Linked DNA regions of Schizosaccharomyces pombe. Each later gene encodes a partner of the first gene's protein in a complex. Each region holds a gene or a part of one and is shown on either strand. Other genes may lie near its edges. The genes, in order: spb70 and spp1.

Region 1 (10,655 bases):
GGGCGATAAGAGGAGGACTTATGGGAAGTAGTGCGGTGAGAAGTAGTACGAGAAGAGCTACGAGAGGAAGACTTGGAAGAAGAGGATGAAGATTTAGATGAGGATGAGGAAGAGGAAGAAGAAGAGGAGGAGGAGGAAGAAGTGGTCGAAGGAGTGGCAGAGCTGGAAGAAGAGGTTGTGGAGGAAACCAAAGAGCTGGAGGAAGAAGAGGAAGAGGAAGAAGAAGAAGCAGCACCCTCAACAATGTTAAATTGTTGAGATTGAGCATAAATTTGCTCAGGACGACCAGGGTAAGCCATGTTGATTTGGAAACCTTGACCAGTGGGCCAGTTGGTGGTGTTGGTGGTGTAAGAACCAGTGCTGGTGTCAACAGTGTCCAAGTATTGGGTAACGGTGGGATAAACAGCAAAGTTGGTCAAGTAAAGAGCAGCACTGGGTTCATCAGTGGAAACGACATTCCAGGTGATTTGCTCCTCGCCGTTGGTTTGCCAAGTGTCACCATTGGTGGGAGAGTTAATCGACATAGCGAGAGCAGAAGCAATCAAAGCCAAAAAGGAAATTTTGAACAACATTGTAGGTATCGTAAAAGAGAAATATGTTGTGTAACAAACAAAAAAAAAGAGTAAATAAAACTAAGTTTGATGTTATTTCGAGATGCTGGGTAAAAAATTCAAAAAAAAAAGTGAATTTTATCAGCAAAAAAGAGTTGGTGGGACAGGCGACAAGTAAATAAGGAAAGTATAACTAGCGCAGTAGGCAAAACAGAAGATTGTATGAGATTTCCAAAAATGAATGGGTAAACAACAAACGTCGGTTAATCTTGTGCGAAAAGAGAAAACGGGGTTTTAATAAAGGAAAAAATAAAATAAATTTGACGGGATCAAAAAGATTCTCTAAATTTCAGGAGAAAGGAGGAAACAATTGGAACTTCAACAAATAATTAGGTTTAAATTGATAATAAATTAATTAGTTCAACAGTGAAGTAATCCAAATGCAATTGAAACCAAAATCGTTTTTTAATTTAATTAGCAAGATGAGGAATTTAATTGACAAGCAATAAAAAAAGAACGCGACTTGTAAGAAGCGAACACAAGCAAATAGGAAATATCAGTTAAGACGTTAGTCAAAAACTCCCTTTTTAATGGAACGAAAAATTTGACGGGAAGCGCTTCTTATATACAATCACGGATCAACATTTTCGGCGCGATGACGGAACGCTATCCCGGACCCCGACTGTGTAAAAATGGTACAGTCTAGAAGCATCTAGTTAAATATTAAAATAATAAAAAATATTTTAAGAAACATGTTTGAGTAAAAAAAACTTTATATATGCTGTACTAATGCTTCTTTTAAATTTTTTCAAAGCGACCATTTGCCGTGTATATCAGCACATTCAAGGTTTTCCACGCACTATCTCCTTTAGCTTTGACTAGGCGATAGCATTCGTCATATTGCGCTAGAAGGATACTCGCTCGACACGAGGTAGCTGATGTCATTTGAAAGTCATTAAACGATCGCCATTGGCGGGAACCAGTTGCGCGGAGCATGCGGGAAACCAAGGTGATTACGAAGGATGCTAAAGAGCGTAGGGATTAGGCATCGCTATTTAGTATAAAGTAAATTAATGGGTTTCACTAATACAGACAGTGATCTCGGTAGATTTGAACGTTACGTGTGTGTAAAAATGTAATATCGATCTTTGTGGTAAGCTCGCAATATTTTTTAGTGTATAGCATTCCTTGAAAATTAAGATGGATTAACTATACAAGCAGCAATTGCTTTTGAGGTATACAATCAAAAGGCCATCATCCTACCCATTTTATATGAAAGCAAATGAATAGACTGCTGACGGGGCAACACTTAAAGAGTAAAGAATAAATACAATACGTAGGGCTTGCCTATCAAGTATAGATGGTGTAATCCTTTTTTTCTTTTTCGCTTTTTGTTTTTTAGTACTTTTTCACACCTTTATTGAAACATATCTTTATTTTTTTTGATAATCATACTCTATATTTTGTTGCTTTATTTTTAGTGTCTTTTCTTCTAAGCTCTCTTTAGTAGATAAAATATCACCGATTAAAATGATTACAAAAAGTTGGGCTTTTCATTCTCTATATATACATCTGCTATATACGTATTGAGTTTGCTACCAATTCTTAATAGCCAGCCCTCTATTACCACGAAACATCTGATTCAGAAAGTCAAAATCACTTTCTTCCGTGATTAATTGTTTATCTTGCTGCTTCCGCTAAACTGTTACTTTGCAAACCTGACATTCCATAGTATCGGAAAGTTTCTAAAGCTTTTGTAAACAAGACGGTCGTTCAGCCCAGGCTTATTGCTGACGATGTTAGTTGTATTATTAAATAATTTCTTTGATGAAAAAAGAAAAACTCAAACACCATGGGAAACATTTAGTAGTGTATGAGAAGATTTGTTCTTTCACATAGCTTAATGTTCCAGTATATATTTATTGAGTTGAAAACGAAATAATTTTTAACTTAGATATTGTTTTTTTTTTTTAAATTATTGTTTGGCTTCTTATTTTTTTTATTGCATTTTATTTTATTTTGGGTTACTTTTTTTTTTTTTTAAGTTGAAAATTAAACAAATTAGCCAAAAAAAAAAGAAATCGAATATGCTGAATTGAGCTATAGGGTTGGATCCTATTAATTAGCAAAAATTCCTATAGTTTAAAAAAAAAAAAAAAAAAAAACAACGAAAAAAAAAGAGAAAAAAAGAGAAAAAATATAAAACATATTTCTACTTCACTTTGTACAATCCATATTGTCTAGTCAAGTAGTTGCAAGCCTGTTCTGTATAGCGAATGTCAACTACGCAGTTTATAATATTTAACGATACTTAGGATTGCAGTGAGTTTTCCTCGTGATCAATTATATTGCAATAAACAGGTATTTTAAGTAGCAGCTGGGTATATGTATTCTGTTATGTAGGTCTATTGTTAGTTATCACTAATGTAGCTTATAACCGAACTGAGGAACGAAGTTCAGTTGATTTCAGTTTATAGTATTTGAAAAAGTCTTTAATTGTAACTGATATTTATATTATCATAAAAGGTACTGTAGCTGTCTTTTTAACCTACCATGTAAAGTAGATAGAGCAAATAGAACATTACAACATGTGACATATAGTGATACTCGGACACATTGTAACATAGCTTAGTTTCAGCTGACAAAACAAAAAAAATACATACTACACTATTTATCAGTAAACTAATATTACATAGTAAAAGCATCTCGTTAAATGTTTAAGGAGGTTTAAAAAACACATTAAACCACATACTACTGCGTTTCTCCACAGTATCCACGGAGCGTCCCAGTATATCCGAGTTTTTATTAGAAGAGCGATTTAAGTAGTTGCTTTAAGAAGATACACTCTCCTATCCTAAAAAGGTTTACTCATAATTATTGGTGGGTACCTCTTTAAGTGGTTGAACTTTCTGCTATACGTCGTTTTTTCTATCTGTTGTTAGGTTGGAATCGCGTAAACAAATTAAAAAAAGCAACTTCGAAAATCTATCACTGGGCACTTTTGGACTGGGATTGCTAGTACGTGTACTTGTATTTTTTATTCTTATTTATTTCTTTTTCAGGACCCACATCACAGTACAAAATTAGTCACTTCAAATTAATTTGCTCGTAATATTCCCAGGTATTCATTTACTGTCTTTTTTTTTGGGTATCTTGTTTCATTTTCAACTTCATTCAATCTTCAAAAAAATGGAATTTCCTATCGATGATGAGGAATTGCTAGATGAGCGAAATAAACTTCTCCAAATTTGCAATATGGACGAGCAAACAATGTTCTACAAGTGGGAGTCCTGGTGTTTGCAACGAGGAAATACACCAAAACTCGACCTTGACACATTCAAGGCCTTTGCTAAAGACATGAAATTTCAAATGGAGAGGCAGGTAAAAGCCACACTTAAACAGAATCCTGAAAGAAAATCGATAAAGCAAATCCCGGGAATGAATATTGATAGCATGTGCGTACATTAGCAAATGGTTTTAACTAACAAATATCTAGACTAGGTCTACCAGTGAAGACCACCGCATCAGGCGACTCGTTGATGCAAGAGTCTAAACCATCTACCGAAACTTTCGAATTGAATTCCAGTGACGCTGGAAGGGTTTTGGAAGTTTTAAATAAAGAATTAAAAATTGTAACTTCAAAACCTTCAGCTCCATCCAAGCTGGTTATCGTAGCGAATTTTGATCTCAAGGCATTTAATTACAGGATCATGTATCAAAAGCTTTATGATTCTTCTGAAGTTCTGGATGATCGCATTGAGCTTTTTAGTGCATTAACTTGCAGAAAATACAACATAAGTGATGAAGATTTGGCAAATCCTAGCGAACTTACTCAAGAACCCGTTGTAGTTGTAGGACGAATTGTTGTCGAAAGTACCAATTTAGGTGGAAGACTCAACCAAAATAGCATTTTACTTGAAAGTTCAAGACGTCTAGGCGCTGGTGTTCGAGTTCGTTTGAAGGTGGATGATCTACCAAGTTACTCAATATTTCCTGGTCAAATTGTTTCAGTTAAAGGATCCAATCCTAGCGGTAACATGTTTATCGCCAAGGAAATCCTTCCTATACCTCCTTTGCCGTTCCCAAGTTCATCTAAACAGGAGCACGCTACCTTTGTTGCTAATACAAATAATCAGCCAATTTCTATATATATTGCATCTGGACCTTGGTCTCTCCGTGATGATCTCTCTTTTTCCCCTTTAAAATCAATGATTTCATATGTAAATAAAAATCCTGTTGACTTGGTTATTCTATGTGGTCCATTCTTGGATATTAATCATATACTAATACGTACCGGAAACATTACAGGAACGTCTGCGACTTCTTTGGAAGAGTTGTTTAAAGAGCGTGTCACACCCATATTAAGCCAGCTAACTTGTCCTTGTATTTTAATTCCTCACATCAATGATGCTGCTTCAGATCATCCTGCATGGCCACAGGATGCATTTAATCGGGTGGCCTTAGGTCTTCCATCTGTATGTTAAGTTGTATAATAATTTTTATTGACCAATCCATAGAACTTCAAATGCTTCCCGAATCCTTGCATGTTTTCCATTAATGATGTCGTCTTTGGTGTGTCAACCAACGATATACTCCTTCACACATCTAGAGAAGAGTTATTTCGTCTACCTTCTCATGGTAACTTATTTGCACGTTTGGTTTCTCACGTACTTCACCAAAGGCATTTTTATCCCTTATTCCCTGGAGGTTCTCTTGAAAAGTGCAACCCTTCAAACTTAGATATCGCACATCTTAAACTTGGTGAATTCCTAAATACTATGCCGGACATACTAATTTTACCAAGTGATTTACGTTATTTCGTAAAGGTATGTTAATTTTCTACTTTGTTTTAACTAATGTTATAGAACGTTGAAAACGTTGTATCATTGAATCCTGGTAAAGCGACCAAAGGGATTAATTTGGGCACTTTTGCAAAATTAACTATCGCGCCATTAGAGCTCGGGGATAATGGTTCTTCTAATCATTATTCACATCGTGTATGGCTTCGAACCAAGGCAGAAATTTTAAAACTATGATAATTATACTCTCTTTTTCTGCGGAATTTATTGAAAATATAAAAAATTCAGCGTTAAATATCATTGGTTATCATTATTTATGTAGATGTCTACCATAGACCGTTAGAATTAATTAACTTTTCAGCTTTCATTTTCTATCTATCGCTATTTTGGTTTTCTTCAAATTTTGTTTGCAAAATTACTCATATGTTTATGTTGTTAATTTAACCATTTTCCTCAAATGTCTAAGACAATCTCTGATATATCTCAAATCGCTACTCGCGAACTTTTAGTCGTTGTTTTATAGTTGAATGAGTATTCCTTTTATACTGTAGTATTTGAATGTTCAACATTTTTTCGATTTGGACTCTAGTCTTGGTGTTTCACATCTCAACCTACTTAGTCACTACAGTTGACCTCCAACATACATAGGGGAAGTAGTGCAAATGCCTGTTATTCCTCCAGAAAAGCTTGTGTCCTTACAAAAAAATCAGGAAAATATTCGTAATTTTACATTACTTGCTCATGTAGATCATGGAAAGGTATGAATTTTGCAATTTTAAACTTTTTTGAATAGTTGCTAATGATTAATTAAAGACAACCCTTGCAGACAGTTTACTAGCTTCGAATGGAATCATATCTAGCAAACTTGCTGGTACTGTTCGTTTTCTTGATTTTCGCGAAGATGAAATTACGAGAGGTATTACTATGAAGTCTAGCGCCATTTCATTGTTTTTTAAAGTTATAAGCCAAAATGATGAAAAAAGAGTTGAAAAAGATTACCTGATTAATCTTATCGATTCTCCTGGTCATGTTGATTTCAGTTCTGAAGTATCTTCGGCCTCAAGGCTTTGCGATGGTGCATTTGTTTTAGTAGACGCAGTTGAGGGTGTTTGTAGTCAAACAATTACTGTCCTTAGACAAGCATGGATAGACCGTATAAAGGTGATTTTAGTCATTAACAAAATGGATCGTTTGATTACTGAACTGAAACTGTCTCCTATTGAAGCTCATTATCATTTGCTTCGACTTGTTGAACAAGTAAATGCTGTCATTGGCACCTTTTATACTGGTGAGCTTATGCAATTAGCTGATAACGACGAAGTCATCAGTGATGAAGGTATATATTTCGCACCTGAACAGGGAAACGTTGTGTTTGCTAGTGCATACGATGGCTGGGCATTTTGTTTGGACCAATTTTCAGAATTTTACGAAAAAAAGCTTGGATTAAAACAAAAAGCACTTACAAAATGTCTCTGGGGTGATTATTATCTAGACCCTAAAACTAAAAGAGTTCTTCAGCCCAAACATCTTCAAGGCCGACGGTTAAAACCAATGTTTGTACAATTTGTTCTCGAAAACCTCTGGGCTGTTTATGAATCAGCTGTGAGCAATAGGAACCTTGAAAACATTGAGAAAATCATTAAGGCATTAAACATTAAAGTTCTTCCCCGTGACATCAAATCCAAAGACCCTAGAAATTTGCTACTTGCGATTTTTCAACAGTGGTTGCCACTATCAACTGCAATTTTGTTAACAGCGATTAGGGAAATTCCTTCTCCTATTAACGCCCAAGCGAATCGAGCTAGGAAAGTTTTGAGTTCAACTCCTCATTACGAAATGATAGATCCAGATATTACACTGGCTATGGAAAGTTGTGACGCTAGTAAGGAACAGCCTGTTTTGGTATACATAAGTAAAATGGTAGCTTTTTCTGAAAGAGATCTTCCTAATCATCGTCGCAAACAACTTAGTGCTGAGGAGATGAAATTGATACGTTCAAAATTATCTGAATCAATTGAGAGCGGCATAAATACCATTTCTATTGAGGAAAACGTTTCTTCTACCAACTCTGACAATTTAGAAGGTAGCACAACTGACATGGACGATGATAAGGACATTTTAATTGGCTTTGCTAGGATATACAGTGGCACAATTTCAGTTGGACAGGAAGTATATGTTTATGGTCCAAAATATGATCCAGTCAATCCTGAAAAACATATTACCAAGGTAACGGTTGAGTCATTATATTTAATGATGGGACAGGAGCTAGTTTATTTAGAGACAGTTCCCGCTGGTAACGTTTTCGCAATCGGTGGCCTTGCCGGAACGGTTTTGAGAACAGCAACACTATGCTCATCTCCAAATGGTCCTAATTTAGTGGGCGTAACTCAGCAAATGGAGCCCATTGTGCGGGTCGCTTTAGAGCCTGTTCGTCCATTTGAGATGAACAAGTTAGTGACTGGCCTTGACATGCTTAATCAAGCCGATCCATGTGTTCAAATAGCCGTTGAAGAAAATGGAGAGCATGTAATTATGTGTGCCGGAGAGATTCATTTGGAAAGATGTTTAAAAGACCTTAGGGAACGGTTTGCAAAAATTGAAATACAAGCATCTCAGCCACTTGTGCCATATCGGGAAACTACCATAGCTACACCCGACTTATTAGCAAAAAATAAAGAACTGAGTATTGGCTTTGTCACTGCAACGTTACCAGTTGGCGGAGTTACGATTGGAATTACAGTAACACCTCTTTCTGGGTCTGTCGTAGATTTTCTGCTGAAGCACTCTAAAACAATTGAAAATGTTAGCAGCAATTTTTCAAAGAAAAATAGAAACGTTGTTGTCTCGGAATCTTTAACAAAAAGTATGGAGGAAGTGTTGACTCCTGAGAAGTTTTATGAAAGGCTTTCCAAGCTTTTAGAGGAAGAGAACTCTGACTTAGGCGAGCTGAAAAATCATTTGGATAGGTAGGTTATACTAGTGTTCTATTGGTTGATTACTAACAATACTAGTATCATTGCGTTTGGCCCCAAACGAGTGGGTCCTAATATACTTTTTGACAAAACCAAGAAGATGAGAGATTTTCGACGACAAAGCGATGAAACAAAATTAATACCCTCAGACCTTTCTGAATATGTAGTTACTGCATTTCAACTAATAACGCACCAGGGACCATTGTGTGCTGAACCCGTTCAAGGCATTTGTGTGTCAATCGATCAGTTTGACATATCTGATGACTCGGAAGATAGTAAGTTACTTACCATCAATAATCCCCAAATCCCCGGTCAAGTTATTTCGGTAGTGAAAGAGTCTATTAGACATGGATTTTTAGGTTGGTCACCGAGACTTATGCTAGCCATGTATTCTTGCGATGTTCAGGCCACATCTGAAGTCTTGGGTAGGGTATATGGTGTTGTTTCGAAGCGACGAGGACGAGTAATTGATGAAGAAATGAAGGAAGGGACTCCATTTTTTATTGTAAAAGCCTTGATTCCAGTTGTTGAATCCTTTGGATTCGCTGTAGAAATTTTGAAAAGGACATCTGGTGCTGCCTATCCTCAATTAATCTTCCATGGTTTTGAGATGCTAGACGAGAATCCCTTTTGGGTTCCAACTACTGAGGAGGAATTGGAAGATTTAGGCGAGTTAGCCGATCGCGAAAATATTGCTAAGCGCTATATGCTGAACGTTCGAAAAAGGAAAGGCTTATTGGTAGAGCAAAAGATTGTTGAAAAGGCAGAGAAGCAGAGGACACTGAAGCATTAAAGATAGTACTTGATTCCAATTTCTTTAGGAAAACGAAAAGATTGTAATTTGATGACAATGACCTGGTTAGATGGAGGTAATGTTTTTTTTTTTTTTTTTGTTACATTGTTGAGGTAGCTGTGATTTTGAGTTAAGTGTTTCATGAACTATGGGACTAAGATTAGAAGTCTATAAGATGAATAGTGTAAAACGCACATGCAAGATTCTTTAGGCTTCTTTTTGTTATGTTTTAAATTGTTAATACAAATTCAAATTTCCAAAAAATACCGATGTTGTGGGATATGCATAATACAAATAATGATATACTCTACTGCGTAATCGCTAGAAGGTGATAGATTACAGACGCGACGCGCCAAAACACAAACACATCTTTGTACTAATTCAAATTCTAGTATTTTGAAAACTATTCGCCTTAATGTTTTTTGACGGATGGAAAATGCAAAAGATTTTATAGGAGAAACAATAAAGGAGAATGGATTACTTACCATTGAAGATGATGGTAGCAGTAGTTCAGATGAAGAAGCTACTTTAAAACGACGATTGGCAGGCCCTTCTGTTCTCAAGTCAGGACAGGAAAATGTTAATCAAAAAAAGATTAACGAGATAATTTACGAAGCTTCCAAAGGAAGTAAGTTTTTTGAAGCCGAACAAAAACGAGACCGAGAACTTCGTTTAAGAATAGAAAAGGTTCAAGTTGAGGTAGAAAAATACCAATCAAAATTAAGGTTTGATAAAGCGTTTCAAAGAGAGTGGACCATTAGACAAGAAAGTGTGGATACTACTGTTGAGGATTTTAGGGCTAAACGAGATTTGACCCAAATAATTGTTCATGTTGATTGTGATGCGTTTTATGCATCAATAGAGGAACTTAAGAATCCAAAACTTAAGTCTTTACCAATGGCAGTCGGGAAGAGTGTTTTGTGTAAGTATTCGAATCTGACTGAAACTAATGCTGAATAAGGTACTGCTAATTATGTGGCCAGAAAGTTTGGAGTTCGATCAGCGATGCCAGAATTTATTGCTAGAAAGATTTGTCCTGATCTAGTTGTAATTCCGTTAAATCTTTCTGAATATGCAATAAAATCTAAAGAAATTCAGAATGTGCTTGCTCAGTATGATTCGAATTTGTGTCCTGCAAGCATTGATGAATTTTATATGAACTTGACTTCACATTTACGTCTCCAAGAGCTTGCATTTACTGTAGAAAACATAACGATGGTGGTTGAGAAAATCAGGAAACAAGTGCATGAAGAAACAGGAGTTACAGTCAGTTGTGGTATTGCAGCAAACAAGTTGTTAGCCAAAATTGCAAGCAATAAGAGAAAACCAAATAATCAGTTTTTTATCCCATTTGACGAGATTGGGATTTCAAAATTCATGAATGACTTGCCTGTTAGAGAGGTAAGCAGTCTTTCTATATCTGGTTAAGCATTCTTTAACATTACAGGTTTCTGGTATTGGTAGAGTTTTAGAGCAGCAATTACTTGGTTTGGAAATTAAGACGTGTGGGGATATTCAAAGAAATTTGGTGATTTTATCT
Region 2 (10,036 bases), on another chromosome or scaffold:
ATATGGTTGAATGAACTTGCGATCTAATTTAATAGCTGCATTAAAATTTTCCATCGAACCTTTAGAGTCACCAGATACAAATTTAAAAGTACCAACTAGATTATGAGTGCGAGCATTAACCGAAGGAGATGAGAAAGATCCCAGACAGGATTCCTTTGCTTTATCGTACGAAAGTTGATATTCACCCTTTTCTAAATATTCATAAGCCTCTGCTAAAGCAGCATCACCGTCAAATTTATTATCAAACAAAGGTTTTGGTTGAGCATGGAATGAATCGAGATAAGTCTGGATAAAGCTGGCAGCTGGCAATTTAGGAGGACGTTCCTTTAAAAGAGCAGACGACTTCTTTTCAGCAACCTTTTTTAACAATCGTTCAACGGTAGCAGTCATACTCTCATTAGCGAAGCCATCGAAAATGCAGGAAACGGTACTATCCATAAGGGCTTCATCCAATTTACCAAGTTGCTCATAAGCAGCAGAACGACGATTTAACGCTTTCACATAGCTTGAATCAAGTGAAAGAGCTTCACTTGTATCCTTAATTACTTGCTCAAAATCACCGATGGCTGCATAACAGGCTGCACGATTAGAGAAGAAAATAGGGTCATGAGAGCAGGTGATAGCCTGAGTATAATAGTCAATAGCATTAGCATATTCCTTTTGTCCATAAGCCTTATTACCAAGAGTCTTTAACTCGGCAGCCAATTTTGCCCTTTCCTCCTTCGTCATAGATTTTACCGATTCCTCAGTAGCAATTTTATCGACAGAAGAATCGCCGACCTTCTTGGCTTTAACCTTTTTTTTATTCTTCTTCTTCTTTTTTGCAGCAGCAGCAGCAGCGGCTGCTGTTTCAACATCCTTTCCAGTTTCTGAGCTTTTAAGATCCTCTTCTTTTACGACCTTTGCAGCTTCATTTTTTCCTTCATTAACTTTGGATTCAGCCTTATCTTGATGAGCCTTAAGTTTTTTAGAACGTTTATGACTAGCTTTTTTCTGTTGTACATGATAAACACCCCCAACTGTAGCAAAAACGGCAACAGCACCAATAGTGTAAACAAATGTCCTATGGCGCCTTACAAATGCTGAAACGGAATTTAAAACTCCAGAAGACACAATTGCCTTACCATTTTCTGCATTGGATATACCAGACATGGTATTGGTTTTGGCTAGGTTGGTACCGATTCATGACCACTATACTTCAGCAAAGTGAATGCTACCTTATTGCATTGCTAACGAACTGCAAAGCACATTCATTGACAAAGGTTAAGGAACTAAAACTTGATTACGAAGTGATAGAAAACAAAAAAAGAAACGGTGAACAGCAGTTTAATAGGAGCTATTATTATGAAATGGTGATAATTTGCACAGGTGCTAGTTTTATTAATTCTACTCAATTCCGCATCAAGTAGGAATTTAAAAAAAACTGCTCCAGCAGTGACTTGAACACTGGGCCTCTTGCTTACTAGGCAAGCGCTCTACCACTGAGCTACAAGAGCTGATGTTATCCCCGTATAAAATACAATATATAGAGAGCGTAGTAAAGAAGTTTACCTTAAACAATGAAACGTATTGACTGTATTTGTTAATTACACAATGCACTTCTTTTGGATTCTGATTATCTAGAGCCCTTTTATTTGTCTTTAAAAAGATTTGTTAACTTGATTGTAGGTTGAACTATGTTTTGAATACAATTGAAGAGTTGCGACCAAAATCTATTACAGTTGTTGCCTGTATCTTATAAGCTATCTATTATTTAAAGCATGGTTTCTTAAGTTGTAAATGACATTTGGAAATGACTATTCATGTTTTGAAGTTTAGCATCAACGTATGGTGTTTAGGTTGTCTAAAAATTTAGTTAAGAGGAAATTTGGCATCGCTGTCCCCTAAGGATGAATAAGCTATGCAAATCCATGTAAAGTAATGATGATATTCAGCTTTCATGTATTCCTCATTTCAATAGATCCAAACTTATTTGAAGCTGTTTTTTTATTTGTCTTTCTCGCCAGCTTCAATATTGAAGGTTCGATTTTTTTTGTACTTCTTCTTTCCTTACGTCCTCATGATATTCGTATATCAAAACGTTCCAGTCTTAGATTTAATGTTGGACGAATGCCTACGTAAAAATATAAAACGTTTATCGTTCGATAGTAACTAATTTGATTTTACCCGAAGATTAAGAACAAGAAATATATGATTCATTCAAACTTTTATATTTCCAAAATTTTTTTAACAGGATACCACAAACTCATGATGTATTATTTCATTTAAATCTCAAAAACCCACAAAATCTATTTCCAGGTTTTATTGAATGCATGATTTATTAAATATATATACCTCTTTAACATTCATTGAAAAAGTGTATATCCTATTAAGGAAGATCAGAAAGTATGTGTTTTTTTAAATACAACAGCAAAGTTCCGATTGACAAATTATATGTTAGCTTCTGTGACGCCGAAATTTACGTTTTTTTAATTTGTAAGAGGAATAATTCTGGCTTACTTGTTTTCCAATAACAAGCCCGTTTCTCATAATCTTTTTATTTTGTCGTTCACTCTGCAGATCTAAAAATGGTGACGAATCTTTGCTAGCAGTTGTATCTTCATTGTCGTCAATGCCATTTTCCGCATCTTCGTCTATTTCAGGAAGACCTTCTAAATGACTTTTGGAAAGATTCATTGAAGGGGGCACTAAAACGTTAGTTCAGGTACAAACAGGAGAAAACCTTACATTTAACAAGACGATTTTGTCGTTTAATTTTTTTCTTCATAGGTTGTGATATGTCTCTATCTACAAGGCTTTCTGAAGATGAGCTACTAAAGCTTTCAAACTCCTGCAATATCTTCTCTTCATTTGATCCGTAATCATCTTCAATATCTTTTAACTCACGAAGCATTTCACTGAGACTTTTTCGGCATGGCGCATTAACTCGAAGTAAGTTAGGAGATGTATAAACTTGAAGGCGATATGAAGAGGGGGTTTCAAGAACGGTGGGAGTATGTTGAGCCACAGGTTCGGGATTTTTTGATGGAGTAGTCGGTATCATAGTTGATGAAATTTCACTAGTGTTATGTTTTATATCCGAAATTTGATCCACATGAGAATCTGCAATGGGAGACATGTCTTCAAGAAGGTTAAGTACTCGACGTGACAACTGTGGAGTAGGACCTAAAAGACTTTTATCCACAGTTTTCGGAGTAACCTGTAGATAATCATTTCGGGGCGCTTTAGGACTCTCGTTCGCTTCAGTTTCAGCACGCTGTTTTGTAGGAGTTTGAAACTTAAAGTCGACCTTTGTTTTTGCTTTTTTAGGGGTAATGGAGGATTCGCGTTTCAACTCGTAGTATTGCTTATATAAAAGCGCTAAAAAAGTTCGTTAGTTTGCTTCAAAAATTCAAGTGTATCTTTGGCTTACATACCTATTTCTGGTTGTTTCTTCACATCCTCCTTAGAAGGTTTGCAATTGTTCGTATGGACGTACTCATGTTCCCACTTCTTTAAGAGCGCTTTTATACTAGATATTTGTTTAGTTCGTGATTCATCGTGCATGATTTGCCAATTAATGCACTGCCTGGACCCAATTTCAATTTTGTAGTGTTCGATTCAAACAACTGCAAAAACAAACTCAAAACAAAAAGAGAGGCTAATCTACATAAACATATATTTCTTCTAATTCTATATGTGGAGAAATACCATTGCACAGAGTTTGATACGTATCTCGAAATGCAAAGTTGAAATGTTAATTATGCTTTAAAAGTAAAGTAGATGCACTAATGAATGCTCCATTTTACTGCTGAATGTTTACGCATACGTTAAGCAGTTTTTTAAATTTAAATAACGTATAACGTTTAAGTACGCTGTCGTTTCCTTTTGATTTATGGTTGAGCTGTATGTAAATAACCTTTGTTTTTAGCTAAACTTATTACAATATGACTGTTCAAATCGATGAATTGGACGACAAAGATTTGGATGAGATAATTGCAAACGGAACACTTGATGGCGCGTAAGTGTGAATACTGAACAATCTTAACTATGGACTCGATTGAGCCTCTAAAATAATGAAAATTCTCTAACAATTTTCTTATAGTAAACAGGGAGCTGTGGATTCAGAGACGATGATTCAATATTATCGCCATCTTTTTCCGTGGAAATATTTATTTCAATGGTTAAATCATGGTCCGGTAGTCACTAATGATTTTGCTCATCGGGAGTTCGCGTTCACACTTCCTAATGATGCTTATATTCGTTATTTATCTTTTTCAAATTGGGAAGAGTTAAAAAAGGAAGCTTTAAATTTATGCCCAAGCCGATTTGAAGTTGGACCCGTTTATAGTGCCAATCCCAGGGACAGGAAAACAATAAGGAAGTCAACATTTCATCCGCTTAAAAAGGAACTCGTTTTTGATATAGATATGACTGACTACGATGATGTACGAACCTGCTGCTCAAAAACAAATATATGCGAAAAATGCTGGCCATTTATTACGATCGCAGTTCAAGTTTTAGATATTTGTTTTCATGAGGACTTTGGATTTAAACACATATTGTGGGTATACTCTGGTCGAAGAGGTATTCACGCTTGGATTTGTGACGAAATTGCTTGTTCTTTAGACGATCGGTCTCGTAGAATGATTGCCAGTTATTTACAGGTTGTAGTAGGTAATCCTCAAGGTGGCGTACGACTTATTAATAACTTAAAAAGACCCCTTCACCCACATTTGACTCGTTCTCTCAACATTCTCAAATCGGCCTTTGTAAAAATTGTCCTTGAAGACCAAGATCCGTGGGCTTCTAAAGAAGGAGCCGAAAACCTTTTGAAATTACTACCAGACAAGGATTTAGCATCTGCTCTTCGTAAAAAATGGGAGGTTGATCCTGAACGATCTAGCAAAAATAAATGGTCCGACATTGACACTGTCTTAGCATCTGGTTCTATTGCCTCTATATCTCCTTCAGTAATTGCGATTGCCAAGCAGGACATTGTTTTAACCTATTTGTATCCAAGATTGGATGTTGAGGTTTCTAGACATTTAAACCATTTGCTAAAATCTCCATTTTGCGTCCACCCCGGAACTAGTCGTGTTTGTGTTCCCATAGATATAGAGAGGATGGATTCTTTTAATCCTTTGAAAGTACCCACTGTGAATGATCTTTTGCAAGAGTTGGATAAAAATTCCCAAAATGATAACGGCCATGGTCCAACAATGGAAACTAATACAACAGAAAACCAAAAAGATAATGCTAGGGGACAATCAAACAAGGGGCATGGCTTTTCAACTTCTCTCAATCCTTATACGCTGTACTTTAAATCGTTCAGTAGCCAGCTTTTTAAAGAAACAGTAGGAAATAAAAGAAAACATGAGAATTTGGAATTTTAAAATCGTATTTCAACAATCGATTCAAGCTTTAACTAAAAATTTGGGCATACATTTACTCATGAAAGGATGGAAGCTCTGACTTCTATTTACGTGGAGCATATTGTTTTCCGTTAAATCGACAGTAATAATATATTTTTTAATACCTCTTTATTTATCCTTTTTTGCTAAATACATTATAATAATAAAAACCAAAACAAATCAAAAGCATAACTAGTATGATTTTAAACTAGCGATTTAATTTTCTTTTTCCAATTCACTATCAGATTGATTTGACTGAGACCTAGTATCCTCAGAAACATCAAACGATTCGTCGCTTTTAAGCAAAATTCCCTTTCTTTTTGGAATGACCTCCATGAATGCCTTTTCCCAATCTCTGTACTCTAACCAAAGAGATAATATTTCAAAGACCTGATTAACCGTAAGTATTTTCCTATCCGTAATTTTAATGTATTCATCAATTGGAAGCTTTGCAGTTTTGATCCCTTGCTCAGACGCTTTATTTTGACATAAATTTTTGTACCGATTCTTGTCGACAATCGCACCAATAATATAAATCTTGTCTTCATCGAGTTCGGTGATGGTGTTATCTGAATCAGCAGAAAGATATACTAATTTTTCTTTTTGGGATTCAAATTCCTCTAAATAAGACTTAGTAGTTGGGTTGTATCGTTTCCAATTATTTTGTTGCCCCTTTAGCACAAAATCTTGTCTGGTTTTCAAACGTCCACCAAAGTTGGTAGCAAAAAGTTCTACAGGATGTAAAGCTGTACGATTTGCAGAATGACATCTAGTAACCTGTTGACATAAAGAGTTGATTTCTTTATCGTTCATCAGATCATCAAATGCACAATCCAAAACAATTCGGATACTACTAGGAACGACCTTTCCTAGTCTGATCCTCTTCTTTTGACTTTTAACTACTTCGCCAGCTTCAATTTTTCGCTTTCTTTCCTCTTTTCGTAATCGCTTTTTTTCCCGGCGCATCTCTGCTCGCTTTTCACGACCTGCATCCCACTCTTGCTGTCTTTTTAATCTTTTTAATGCAGATTTGCTAAGAACGGGTTGCTCTTGAGTTTCATTTTTAGAAACGTCAGCTTCAGAAGTATTTGTGTCATCTTTACCAATATCTAAAGCGTCTTTGTTTTCCATAATTTCCCAACTTTATTGCAGTCAAAATATAGCCTAAATTTATCTAGTTATATCGTTATTTTGAACCTAGCCAGGCTGTTCATCTAATGGAAAAAGTAAGAGTGTTGTGAAGTATAAAAAGTTGGTAACTACGCCAATCTCGCAATTATTAACTTTGGGTAATAAAGGGATTCAGGAAGTCGAAAATAAAAAAATTTTGCAAAATTGTATTATTTACAAACTTCGACAAAACAAGCTTTGAAAAATGGCAACAAACGATCAAAAAATCGATAACAAATCGACGGTATCAAATATGCTTGAAAATCCTATGTTTCAGACATTTTCAAAAAAAGAAACAGAAAAGCCATCACTATCTGAATATATGGAACAACTTACTTCAGAGTTTGGAGAAGAGCTAGACAATTTAAGGCAAAAGGAAATTTTTGATCATAACAAACTACAATTGCTTATTGAAAGTTTGCGTGCTGGTCACAAAATTTATGAATAATGGTTTATATAACTTAGCAAAAAACAGACCTGTATTATTCTATTAAAAAAGATAAGCTTGCGGTGCTAATCTTGATCCAACTTATCGTCTTCGTTCAAAAAACCATCTTCGGATGCTGTATAAAACTCGTTATCAGAGATTTCGACAAAAGTAAATGTTTTTTCTATTTCCTCAAAACTTCTCGTATAGAAGTCAGAGGAAGAAACTTTGTTCGAATATGGGGATTCGCTAGGAGCATCTTCGGGTTGTTTATTCGATTCCGCGTTTTTCTGGGCTTCTTTTGCGTGCTTTTTTATTTCTTGGTTCATTTTCCTTAAATTTTTTTTATGTTTTTTGCTGTTTTCATGGTTCTCCAATTGATTTTGTGATCGAAAGTTCTTGTTACAAACCATACACATTATTGGATTTGAATTCACAATTTCTTTGCTCAAAGATTCATCATCGCTGGATGTTTCTTCCTGATCGATTATTGTCCAAGACGCAATTGATTGGTTTTTAAAAGTTTCCTGGTACTGACGCCGATCACGTTCACTTTGCTTTCGCGATGCTTCTTGTAGGGAGTTGTATCTTTCTCCATCGCTTAGTTTCACAACGTTTTTTCTCCGTGGATCAAGATCACATGCTTTTCCTATTAAATCTCTGACAAGTTCGTTATATCGCTGAATGCAGTATTGTATCTGCCTTTGATTTTGTCTCTTCATTAATCGCCGTGTAGCTGCATCACTTTCCTCTTCTTCATTATATAGAGCTTCCCATTCAAAAGATTTTTTCGTTGAAAATCTTAGCCATTTTTGATAAATAGGTTTGGCATACGTCCAAAGCCAAGTTGTGTCCCCTAAAGTTGGAAGGTCGTCTGTGGAACCCGCTATTTTTTCGTCTTGTCGCAGTCTTTCAACGAACGCTGAGGTGCTTTCAAAAGGGATTTTCTCAATTGTTTGTAGATGCTGCAAAACGTCTTCAATTTGTACAGAATATTGGTTTCTTAGATAGTCTTTTTCATGCCATTTTCGTTTATCATCATTAGAGAGAATATTGTATGCAGCGTTTATTTGGGAAAATATTTCGTTATAGTCTTCAATGCCCGGATTTCTATCGGGATGATATTGCAAAGCTAATTTTCTGTTATGATTAGTAAAGATACACAAAGGCGATCAATTCTTCACAACTTAAACGATTATGTTTTAATCACAGATCGAAAAGCTGTAAATTTATATTCTATGTTGATTGATTAAGTTGAAAACAAGTTTTCATACCGGTAATTTGCTTTAATCTCTTGCAAGTCAGAGTCATGATTCACTTGCAAGATTTCATAGCAATCCATATCCTTAAAAGGGTTATTCATGATTGGTGATAAATAATTTGCATAAAATCATAAGTTAACCAGTAAAAGACTTATATAAAGTAGCTTCAAAGACAAAATTCCAAGGCCGAGGAGTGGAATGAATTATCAACCGCAATTGAGATTGCTTGTGATAAACTAACAATTCAATTCTACAATTGAAATACAAAAAAAGCAAAAAAATTGAGAGTTGCCCGTTCAATCGCCAAAATACAATACCTTCAGTACGTTCTATGTAAAATGGTGATCTTTCTCACAAACCGGCGACAATAGCTCCCAACTGTGTTTCAAAAAATGTAGAAAGAGACAAAAAGGCGAATTGACGAGAAACAACGAATCAAAATACTGTTAATGCTAAAAAATAAAGTAATATGCTATGGGTAAATTAAATCTGTGTTGACAAACCCGCAAATACATAATATGGTGTGGTCCCTCACGTCTCGCCAATGCTGAAGTAAATAAATACAACAAGCGAAACATAAGTTAAAGTTGTGTACGAAATCATTTGAACCCTAAATAAATTTGTGTTCTATACATGCAAACTTTAGACAGTTTGAAATCCGAAAAATCACTTTTGTAAAAAATGAATATATGAATAAATATATATATTAACATATATTGATATATGTATAATCTTAATACAGTTTACAAACTACTGTCTTCTTAATTAAGAAAACATGGTTCTCATGAAAACTTATATTGTTATTTAAGGTCTTGCTGCTATATATGCATTAGCAAAATGCACATTTCCAAAAAATGAAGTTAAAATTATCAGTTTACAAAAGACATTGAACTAAAGATCAAATTTTTCCACAACCGAATTAAAATGTAAGATTGTGTTTTTTAGAAGAAGCCAATGCGCTAATAATAATGCCATGCTTGCATTGCTTAAAAACAAACGAACTTCTTGCCTTCATGTAGCAAGGCTATTATCACGAATTTTCATGTTAATTTCGCTATGAATGCTTGGTCTTTTCTGAGTTAATCAATACTATTTAGCTAAGGTTTCGCTCATATAGAATACGAAAATTTCGCATTTATTAATGCAAATTTCCTCGATGTTTTTAATATATTGTGTTGCTAATCTGACTATATAACACTGCCTCTTCAAGGGACAAATAGTTTTAACAAAATTTGTTTACATTATTGAGTCAAGCAATTACGACCCGATGTTATAAGCATTACGCAGATTTCTTTTACAAAAGGGAGGTCTCTTTCATTTACCCCAAGCTTAGCATTACAAAATCATGTGCAAATGAGAAGACTACTTTTAGGGAAAATAAAAATCTAAACTTGATTGGAAAGCGAAAGTTTAAATCCTAAATTGTTTGAGGTTGACGTGTTAGTTTTTCACCGTAATAAGTAAATAGCATTGTATAATGAATAAAAGAAAAATTTTGATAGTTTAACAATTGCTGCTATTCATATTTTAATAGAATCTCAAAATTCATACTAATCGACTTTCTTATCCTTCTATATTCTTCAATATTTCAAACTCGTTTTAAGTCTCTCCTATAGCTTGGGATTATTCAATGAAATTGTAATTGTCGTCCTTTCCTTTACATTGTGAATACTAAAAAATTGCTTCTTCCAGAATTGTTTTATTGACTCACGGATTTGCAACATGTCCTTCTCCTCTTTTTTTTTTTTTTTTCTTTTTTTTTCTAATCTGTAAAAAAACCAAAA

Evidence for each region.
Region 2: spb70 (region 1) and spp1 share a complex: the UniProt entries of both Schizosaccharomyces pombe proteins name them as parts of the alpha DNA polymerase complex.

What each region holds. Positions count from the first base shown.
Region 1 is NC_003421.2:283,900-294,554, forward strand, and holds spb70 (DNA polymerase alpha B-subunit), read left to right. Parts: upstream 1-3,329; 5' UTR 3,330-3,740; coding exon 3,741-4,006; exon of another isoform or gene 4,007-4,047; coding exon 4,048-5,026; exon of another isoform or gene 5,027-5,068; coding exon 5,069-5,377; exon of another isoform or gene 5,378-5,416; coding exon 5,417-5,587; 3' UTR 5,588-5,805; downstream 5,806-10,655. Other genes in the region: protein knh3, read right to left, coding at 1-572; GTPase Ria1, read left to right, coding at 6,013-6,108, 6,164-8,316, 8,362-9,115; kpa1 (DinB-like DNA repair polymerase kappa), read left to right, coding at 9,545-10,037, 10,077-10,516, 10,563-10,655. UniProt on the Schizosaccharomyces pombe protein: Accessory subunit of the DNA polymerase alpha complex (also known as the alpha DNA polymerase-primase complex) which plays an essential role in the initiation of DNA synthesis.
Region 2 is NC_003424.3:2,424,508-2,434,543, reverse strand, and holds spp1 (DNA primase catalytic subunit Spp1), read left to right. Parts: upstream 1-3,908; 5' UTR 3,909-3,926; coding exon 3,927-4,000; intron 4,001-4,084; coding exon 4,085-5,375; 3' UTR 5,376-5,568; downstream 5,569-10,036. Other genes in the region: TOM complex subunit Tom70, read right to left, coding at 1-1,152; drc1 (DNA replication preinitiation complex assembly protein), read right to left, coding at 2,437-2,687, 2,728-3,360, 3,417-3,546; tRNA m(1)G methyltransferase Trm10, read right to left, coding at 5,610-6,524; ribosome assembly protein Rsa3, read left to right, coding at 6,769-7,011; epr1 (ATPase co-chaperone protein), read right to left, coding at 7,077-8,130, 8,265-8,353. UniProt on the Schizosaccharomyces pombe protein: Catalytic subunit of the DNA primase complex and component of the DNA polymerase alpha complex (also known as the alpha DNA polymerase-primase complex - primosome/replisome) which play an essential role in the initiation of DNA synthesis.